Linked DNA regions of Daphnia pulex. The protein of the gene in region 1 purifies or fractionates together with the protein of each later gene. This does not show direct contact. Links are inferred from orthologs where the notes say so. Each region holds a gene or a part of one and is shown in the gene's direction. Other genes may lie near its edges.

Region 1 (4,471 bases):
CGAAGGAATATTCGCGTTGCCTTCACGTAATCGGTATGTTGAACACTTACTGCATCAAAAACGAGCAGCATTTTAAAATCACTTGGAACTGCAAAAAGAAATAGAATTACGAAACTTGAATACAGTAAAAGAAAAACAAACGCCATACTTGGCTCGAGTACTCTTCGTCGAAGATATAATACTGCGATGGCAAAGGTGAAGGATCCAATAATAAAAATCAAACCTATTAATATAGCTACATCAACCATGTCGAACTGATGATCAATATCGATTTCAAGAATTCTGCTTTGATTGCAGCAGTTAACATTAGATGATGTGCTATTTGGTAAGCGTTGGCATTCAATATACAGTTCATACTTTCCTTTCTTCAATGTCGCTTGGGATAGTTTATAAGTAATCAAATCAGCGTATCTAACGGGAAAAAAATTATTTTTCGGTTGAAAAAATTTAACTAAGATATAAAGCGATTCCTCGTAATTCTACAAACCTTTCAGAATAAGTAGAATCTATTGACAGATCCACTTTAAAAGTATGGGAACATTTGTTTTGCCCTTTAAAACATAATTTTATCATGTAATTGTCTATACCAACTAGAGCTTGGAAAGTAATAACAAGCTGATTTTCAATAGAGGTGTGAGTATAGAAAAATATTATTCTGTTACTCATATCCCTACCTAAAAAAAATATGGATTTAATAATGACACACAGGCCAATAATTGATAAGCAGCTTACCATACAAATTCCTAAATTTGTATTGCAATTTTTCTCCATTCATTAGAAACTTGATGGTTGTGTATGAATCACTTGTCATGAGAGAACTTGCAGAATCTCTGACATAACAATCATAGTTCCCCATGACATCATCACACCCTGGTTTAACAATGTTTCTGATTAAAGTAAAACACTTGGCATTCTGAGGTTTGATAAAATCTTCAAGCATAAACCACATGGTCTTAAATAGTGGATCAGAAATGGTGATGTTCAATGCAAATCTCGGGAAACTTCCATTCCTATCATAAGCATCAAATGCATTTAAATGAAGACCAATGTTTCTTCCATATGGAGTGGTTGAATCATTCCATTGTAGTAATCCAGTTGTACAATTACTGTCAGCAATAACAGTGAAGCAGCCATCAGCAGAAGTAACTGATCCACTAATGTATGACCCATATTTTGAGCAAATATCCGACCTACTAGTCTGACGGACTAAACTTGGACAGAGGGTGAAGACACTTTTTGGCAGTGTAACTGCAACGAGAAACAAAATGCAATAAAACTGCATACTGGCAAATACTCCCGAAATAAGGCGCAAAAATAAGGTTGTAATTGAACACACACTATCGTTTTCGAATCAGGAATGTCACTGAAAGAATTCCGCAATTTCCAAATTTTTTGTTTTGATTCATGATTCTTGTTGCCATAGCCCCCAAACCACACCCTCACCAGCAACCGAATGACGTCGACAAATTTTCTTTGTGATTAATGAGAACAATTTTACGTTACATAAACAAACTTGGTAAACAAATTTTGTGACATATTCCATCTATCGGTCATTTTATTTGTTTTTGCCACTAACCGTTAGGTGGCGTTGGTGATTCCTCGCGAGATTAAAAAGAAACTACGATTGATGCCGAGTTGCCGATCCGACCTACTAATGAATACCCGGTTGTCGACGCTTACGTTTTTCTCCAGGAATATGGTGAGTAAATTTAGTTTACAATTTCAAGTTCATGCAGCAAATCCACGTTTAATCTCTGATGGCTGATTAGTTCTGTATGGTTTGCTGTCGTGATATGTGTATAGTTTATAATGTAATCGAGATTGGTTTATGTTTTTTCACAGTGAGCAAACTGTACCGGGAAAATGTCTATTCATTACAAGTTTAAATCGGCGATCGACTATGACACGATTACATTCGATGGCCTTCACATCTCAGTTTCTGACTTGAAAAAGGCAATTGTCCACCAGAAAAAACTGGGCAAGGCTACAGACTTTGACCTCATGATAACAAATGCGCAGACAAATGAAGGTAAGATGTAGCACACAAAACTTTATAGAATAACTCATTTGACATGTTGTTATTGTAGTTTACACAGATGAATCTGCATTGATTGCCAAAAATACTTCGTTAATTGTGGCACGAGTCCCTGTAGCTGGTGCCACCAACAAAAAATTCTGGTAAGATTTTGTTGTTCATTTTAACAAAACATTTTGCATGGCACTGAATTGGAGTGAGTTTGCCCAAGCATAACTTTCGTTTTTTGAAATGTAATGATTTTAGGAGTTTGTCGTTATGTTATTTAAACATTGTTTTACTCATTACAGGGATAGAGGCGAACCATCATTGATCGGAACAACATCGTCGTCGAATTCGTCGTCATCAAAGGGTGTATGTACCTGAAGTCTTCCTCCCTTCTCAGTGGATTAGTAACTCTTTTTAAAAAAGAACCCCAATTAAACCAATTTAAATTAAAGTCACTCACATTCAAAGCTAGTTTTTGCAAAGAATCATAAAATTGTCATGAGTAGTTTTGAAAGTCTTGGTAATTCAAACTTCACATTTCTTACAAAAAAGGACTTGGGACTGCTGACGCCGGCTACTGTGATATTCTCATAACATTTCAAGAAGTTTTTGTGTTGAATTTAAAGATTGATGAAAAATTGTTTTCTTAGAACTTTTAAATGTTGCAGCTTTTTGTTAGTGATAGGGTTTTCATGGCTGTGATAAATTTAATTCATTCGTTGGTGATATAATTTTTGTTTCAAAACGGATGTTAAAGCTTGTGTCACGCACGGAGTATTACCTTAAACCATCAATGTGCCCTGTCCACCTTTCCGCTATTTTTCCATCATGGGATTCGAACCCCTGCGGTGTATGTGATTCATGCACACTTTCTTTTTTCTCTATTGATTCGTTTGAAAGTCGAAAATCGGAAGTTCAGTGCTAATTTTTGCTCGACAAGTAATTAATTCACTAGCTGGAACTAGTTTTCAAATACATGAATGGTCCACTTTGCCGGAAGCCAAATGTCTGATGGTTGAGCGATACATCAATATTTGGCACGACACTTGATCTTCCTCCTTCTGCCCTCCTATTGTCGCATTTCAATTTGTCAATAGACAGTTTCGTTGAGAACATTCCTAGAAATATGAGTTATAATCGAAAATTTTAGGCTCCCCCCGGGACCAGAAATGAAAATGAAGTCACAGTTGCCATGGCGAACATCAATGCGGATTCAGCCGGTTCCGCGCTTGATAATCTTGCCCAGGTATTGATACCTTTGTCCCGCCAGTTCATTCTGTATGTAACCTCACGTCTGTTCTTTTTTTTTTTCAAATTTTTTCAAAGGCTACTGACCTGTTTCGAAGTGAGGCTTCCGAAGAGGACAAAATCAAGGCCATGATGACACAAAGTACTCAGGACTACGATCCATCTAAGTAAATATTTCAACCATCATCTTGCGTCGAAGTTATTATTTATATGTATATTATTCTTCATCAGATATATGAAAATTCGTGGTCAAGGTCAAGTAGGACCCGTTCCTGGTAACTATTGTTGTTTCAAATGCGGTATGCCTGGTCATTGGATCAAACAATGCCCCTTGAACTTGGTAAGACTCATTTCTCGAAGTCAAATTGTAACAGCATATTAACGAAATTTATTTGTTCACGATTTTAGACAATGGACATTAAGAAGAGTACCGGAATTCCAAGAAGTTTCATGGTACCTGTTGAAGGTCCAGAGGTTCCTGGAGCGATGATGACTCCATCGGGGCATTTTGCTGTCCCTGCAATTGACCAGTAAGTTTCTTTAGCTAATTTGAAGTTCAATAAGTGTAACACACTAAAAATGCTTTTCTTATTAGTGAGGCATATCGAGAGATCAAGAAAGAACGACCGCCTTTTCAGGCTGAATCGCCGACACCCGAGGTGGTAAAACCTGTCATTCCATCTGAATTACTGTGTTCTCTGTGCAAAGATCTATTGTCTGACGCAGTACTTATTCCCTGCTGTGGAGATTCCTTCTGTGATGACTGTAAGTTTTATTATTTTTATCACATTTTTATTCGGTTTTAACGGTTTTCTATGATTCCTCGAAGGCATACGAGCCCTACTTCTCGATTCAGAGGAGCAGGAATGTCCTCAGTGCCACACGAAAGCTGTTTCGCCTGACACACTGATACCAAATCGGTTTTTACGTACGGCTGTCACCAATTTTCGAAGCGAAACGGGATATACGAAAGCCGCTCCCGTTGTCGCCCCTGCTGCTGTTGTGGAACTTGTTGTTGTTCCTGAAGTCAAAGAAGATATTGAGGACGAGAAAGAAGAACCCGAACTGATTTTAGAGGTAAAATTGAAAGTTTATTTGTGATTGCGTTGATGGCATGATGTTATCATTCTTTATTTCAAAAGGATGAAGAATTCAAGGAAGAAATTGCAACTTCTCCGGTGGCCGAAGAAGAGTTTAATG
Region 2 (4,547 bases), on another chromosome or scaffold:
CATTGACAATGTAACATACAGCAACTCTCCTTATTCCAATCCACTACTTTCCTTCTCAATTAAAAAACTTAGAATTTATATACTATAAATGAAATACAAACATTAGCCGCTAGGTGTCACGACGAAAACTATCAATCGCAATTTTCAGTGCCCTATCTACTTATCTCTAATGTATCATATCCCCTTACAATAAAAAAAATCTAAGAATCCTAATAAATGACAATAATATTAACCGACCTTCAAAAAACCTTCCAATAACAAACAAAAAATTTCTTATTTCAATATATTTCTTCACAATCCATTAAATCGATTCAATCATACCATTCGAGCAAGATTACAAAAAAAATTTTGTCAATAAAAATTATTAATTGCCAACACCATCTTCCGCAAAAAAAATACAACAAGCATCAATCATTCAAACATTTATATCATTCCTATCTCTGCAATTCATTACATAAAACATTCCATATAAATGAAAAAAAATAGATTGACTCACCACAGCTTTCATTTAATGTTTATCACATTTCAACATTTCACTTCGATAAAAAAAACAATCTTCATTGCTTTCACTTCATTAAATTGTAACACATAATAATTCACACAACATTAGCTAAACTCATCACAATAATTCATATCACTAATCACTATTCATATCTGACAAAAAACTCACTTTAAAAAAATTCTTCTCACAAAACTGATGCACCAACTAACAGACAAATATTCAACAGCAGCCAATTTGAAACAACAACTTTCCAACTAAGAATCTGAATCAACACTGAATATCTGACTGTAAAACATCAAGAAAAAAAGAAAAACACAAGGTTATACTAAGAATAATGTGATATCAACAGTACTAAGAAAACATCAATCTAAATGAAGAACTAACCAAGGCCACGGACAAAATAACAACCACGAAACACTGGCCCTGCCAAATTTATTTCCTTTCCTCTGATTTTATTCGACACAAGAGGTGCAACAGTGAGGTATAGAATGACAAACAGAGAAAACAATACGAAAACTTAATTTTTAAATTTCCTAATCAAGAAAAAAAACGAAAGGAGACTTATAAAATCTCGAAGGTGCCACAAAGGGGCTTGATTAATGGTTAATGAAATGGACTCTGTCATTTTTTCGTTGCAGCAGAGAAAACATTGGGTAGTACGTTTATAAATAAAGTAAATACGTTAAGTTTATGATAATTGTGTTGCTTAAAGGACTTGTTCTTTTTTATTTAACATACTTAAGAAGCATCAACATACTTTTTAAAACTTTAAGTACGTTAAATCTATGATAAGTGTGTTGCTAAAAGTACTTGTTCTGTAAACATACTTAATTTCATTTTTATAAACATACTTATTTTTTTGTAAGCATGTTACACTTCGAAGAAGCATGAAATTTTGCTTTTCAGTTTGTTTATAATTCTTACCAAAAAGCGTAACGTGTTAAGTAATCTTAAAGTGCTGAAATAGGGCTAAAATAAGCATCCTACCGAGCTTCCGTGTAGCTTTTAACTGTCGGTCAACAGTATCAAAATAATGTTTTACCTGTCTGACAAGAAAAGACTTCAAATATACTAGGATAACTAGGAAATTATGTTGGATCGTGTCGGATTTATGCGGGTTTTTTTTTTTTGCAAGATTTTTGCGGGATTTTGAAGAAAATCGTGCAAGATAAAGTGCAGGATTTTTAAAAAAAAAAAAAACGGATTTTCGGGACTTTTTAGGCAACCCTGCACGACTTTGCTATTTCAGAAGTGGCAGCACTGGTGGAAACAGAGAAGAAGTTCAAGACTGTGGTCGTTGGCCATAGACTAAACTTCATAAAATGGCTGACGTGCCTGATATTGACTTGTATGCCGACGATCTTGGTGATGATTTTCATGGTGTAAGTTTACGTACTTATTTATAGTTACCGGAAGAATGCGATGTTAATATTCTGTAGTTCGTTTATCAATAACTTATTTATGTACATTTATGTTCATTTTCTGTTGTTATCCCACCGCAGTGTTTGGCGTGGCGTCTTTGCTGTTTACCGTTATTAGATGAGACAGCATCATTTAACTTATTTTCTTAACTGATTACAGGATGGTGACGAACAAATTGGCGATGGCGTTGACTTGTATGATGACGTCTTGACATCTTCAACGAGCATCAAGCAGGAACTAAATGGAAAGGAGAAGATCTCAACGCTATCTTCTCATATCACATCCAGCTCTCTACATGGTTCATCTTCATTGATCGGAACTCCACTTCAGCTTCATGGCAGCAACAGCTCATCACAATCCAAAAGGATCCAGTTGTACGTGGGCAATCTGACGTGGGTACGATTATTCAAACCTTTCCATTTATAAAACCAATTGTTCAAAGTGTCGTTTTATTTATCTAAAAAGTAATTGTGCTGTATATCGAATCATTCCCAGATAGTTCCCAATTGTTTATTTTTATTTTATCGACATTAATCAAATTGTTAAGTCTGTGATATCAACCTAGCCACCATGTTGTTATGATGGAGGGGCTATGATGTGTGATAAAACTGTATGATGGCATTCAAAATTGAAAGAAGGGCATCATGAATGTTGATGTATGTATGTGTATGTGAGAAGGCATACCAATTCAGGGACATGAACGACCATGCATGTTGTACGCTGTGTATCTGCACTTTTTAAATAATTTTTTTTATCATCTATTGATCTATCATAAGTAGTCCATCAAAACTTATCATTAGCCCCTATCAAAACCTTTGACTGAAGGTTTTTGAGTTGTGTTGTATTACGTTTCTCAGGATGCGGTCCTCCATAGAACTCCCCAGAAAAAAAATTCTTGTCAATCAGTTTTGCGTAACTGATGTGCCACATCCATCGCCCCATGTTTTTTTTTCTCCTTTGATCTCTGAAATCGTCATCTCTGCCAAACGATATTTGAGTCGAATGAATTGTTAGTTTGGGGTGGGATATCGCTTGATATGACAATCTCAGCCACGTATTATAACAACCGCTGGCGCCCATGTGCAGGAACATCTTTGATGATGACAAGAAAAAGAAACTGCACTCTGGCATACACTCACTACAAATTGCGCGGCTGTGTAAAGGTGCCCGATCAAAATATCTTTTATTTGACCAATACAATTATGGTATGGATGTAATCGGCAGAAAACGATTTTCATGCTTTGTTTTTCTATATTATCTTTCTTTCTTTTGTTTTTTAAACAAACAAACCCAATCCAAAACAACAACAAACGACAACGACACAACATCAATTTTGTGGTTGTTGGACAATACAGTGGACCACAGATGCCGACGTGGAGAATGCAATCAGCGCGATTGGCGTCCAAGACCTGGTGGAGGTGCGATTTCATGAAAACCGAGCCAACGGCCAGTCGAAAGGCTTCTGCGTCATCACCGTCGGTTCCGAGATCAGCGCTCGTCAATGCATGGACAAACTTCCCAAAAAGGATCTGCACGGACAGACGCCCATCGTCACCTTCACATCCAAACAGGCGCTCAATCAGGTAAGATCAAAACATTTCTTAATCGTTTAGTGCTGCTAGACGAATTTTTTCCAAGTGCATACCAGTAGAACCATTGACTGTCTAAATTGAATACAGTTCAAAGGTGGGAAAGTGTAATGCAACATTAAAACCAATCAAGTCTGTAAACCTACAAGTGTCGTACAATTTAACACTTAACGGACGACTTGACTGGAACATCTTTAAACATTTATGTTTTATGCATTTCTTTTAATGTCAAAATATTTTTCTTATTCAGTTTGAGGCGCAGTCAAAGAGCCGCCCATCTAGACAATCAAGTCCTCCGCGGAGTACCGGTTCTGCTCCATCCGGAGTTCCGTCGCTAACAGTCGGATTACTCGGACCTCCTCCAATGAATGGGCCTCCTCCTAGGATGATGATGGGTCCGTCAGCTTCTTCATCCGGACCCCCACCTTTAACGAGTCTCTCATTACCTCCGCCACCTTCAGTTCGTGGTCCACCGACACCCGGAGGCATTCCCGTTCCGCCACCGACGCATCACCTTCTTCCACATCCGGTCATGTCACCTACGGTCGTACCGCGAGGTCCACCACCCGGCATGGGGATGCGTGGGCCTCCGCCCGGAATGGATATGAATCCTCATCGTATTCCGCCTCCTGGCAACGGCCGGCCAGAATGGGCCAACATAGTCCAGCAGCCAGCTCCTCACGTCAATCCGGCATTCTTCCCTCCGCCCGTTGCGGCACCTCCGCCTGGATTCCCTCCACCGATCGGCCCACCACCACCATTCATCACTGATAATCGGCCACCGCACACCAATGAGCCGCCAAACGTCAGTGAAGCCGAATTCGAGGAAGTGATGGGCCGCAACCGAACAGTTTCTTCTTCCGCCATTGCTCGAGCTGTTGCGGATGCCTCAACTGGTATGTCTTCAAGCTTCATTTTGCTCATTGAACCAAAATCAGTAGTAACTTATCTGTCTTCTTCATCCAATCAGGTGATTACGCCAGTGCAATCGAGACGCTAGTAACGGCCATTTCGCTCATCAAACAGTCAAAAGT

The links.
Region 2: the proteins of E3 ubiquitin-protein ligase RBBP6-like (region 1) and cleavage and polyadenylation specificity factor subunit 6-like purify together in Homo sapiens (affinity purification with mass spectrometry; 3 studies listed by BioGRID and IntAct, with this or other methods). This does not show direct contact. The link is inferred for Daphnia pulex from reciprocal best matches to the Homo sapiens genes RBBP6 and CPSF6.

The regions. Positions count from the first base shown.
Region 1 is NC_060018.1:4,209,755-4,214,225, reverse strand, and holds the start of E3 ubiquitin-protein ligase RBBP6-like, read left to right. Parts: upstream 1-1,582; 5' UTR 1,583-1,699; exon of another isoform or gene 1,700-1,773; intron 1,774-1,842; 5' UTR 1,843-1,863; coding exon 1,864-2,029; intron 2,030-2,087; coding exon 2,088-2,178; intron 2,179-2,325; coding exon 2,326-2,389; intron 2,390-3,173; coding exon 3,174-3,269; intron 3,270-3,349; coding exon 3,350-3,438; intron 3,439-3,502; coding exon 3,503-3,611; intron 3,612-3,679; coding exon 3,680-3,801; intron 3,802-3,866; coding exon 3,867-4,036; intron 4,037-4,100; coding exon 4,101-4,348; intron 4,349-4,413; coding exon 4,414-4,471. Other genes in the region: uncharacterized protein LOC124188324, read right to left, coding at 1-88, 149-411, 488-674, 733-1,282. UniProt on the Homo sapiens protein: E3 ubiquitin-protein ligase which promotes ubiquitination of YBX1, leading to its degradation by the proteasome.
Region 2 is NC_060024.1:13,144,511-13,149,057, forward strand, and holds the start of cleavage and polyadenylation specificity factor subunit 6-like, read left to right. Parts: upstream 1-1,746; 5' UTR 1,747-1,824; coding exon 1,825-1,884; intron 1,885-2,083; coding exon 2,084-2,320; exon of another isoform or gene 2,321-2,961; coding exon of another isoform or gene 2,962-3,129; intron 3,130-3,279; coding exon 3,280-3,507; intron 3,508-3,763; coding exon 3,764-4,409; intron 4,410-4,483; coding exon 4,484-4,547. UniProt on the Homo sapiens protein: Component of the cleavage factor Im (CFIm) complex that functions as an activator of the pre-mRNA 3'-end cleavage and polyadenylation processing required for the maturation of pre-mRNA into functional mRNAs.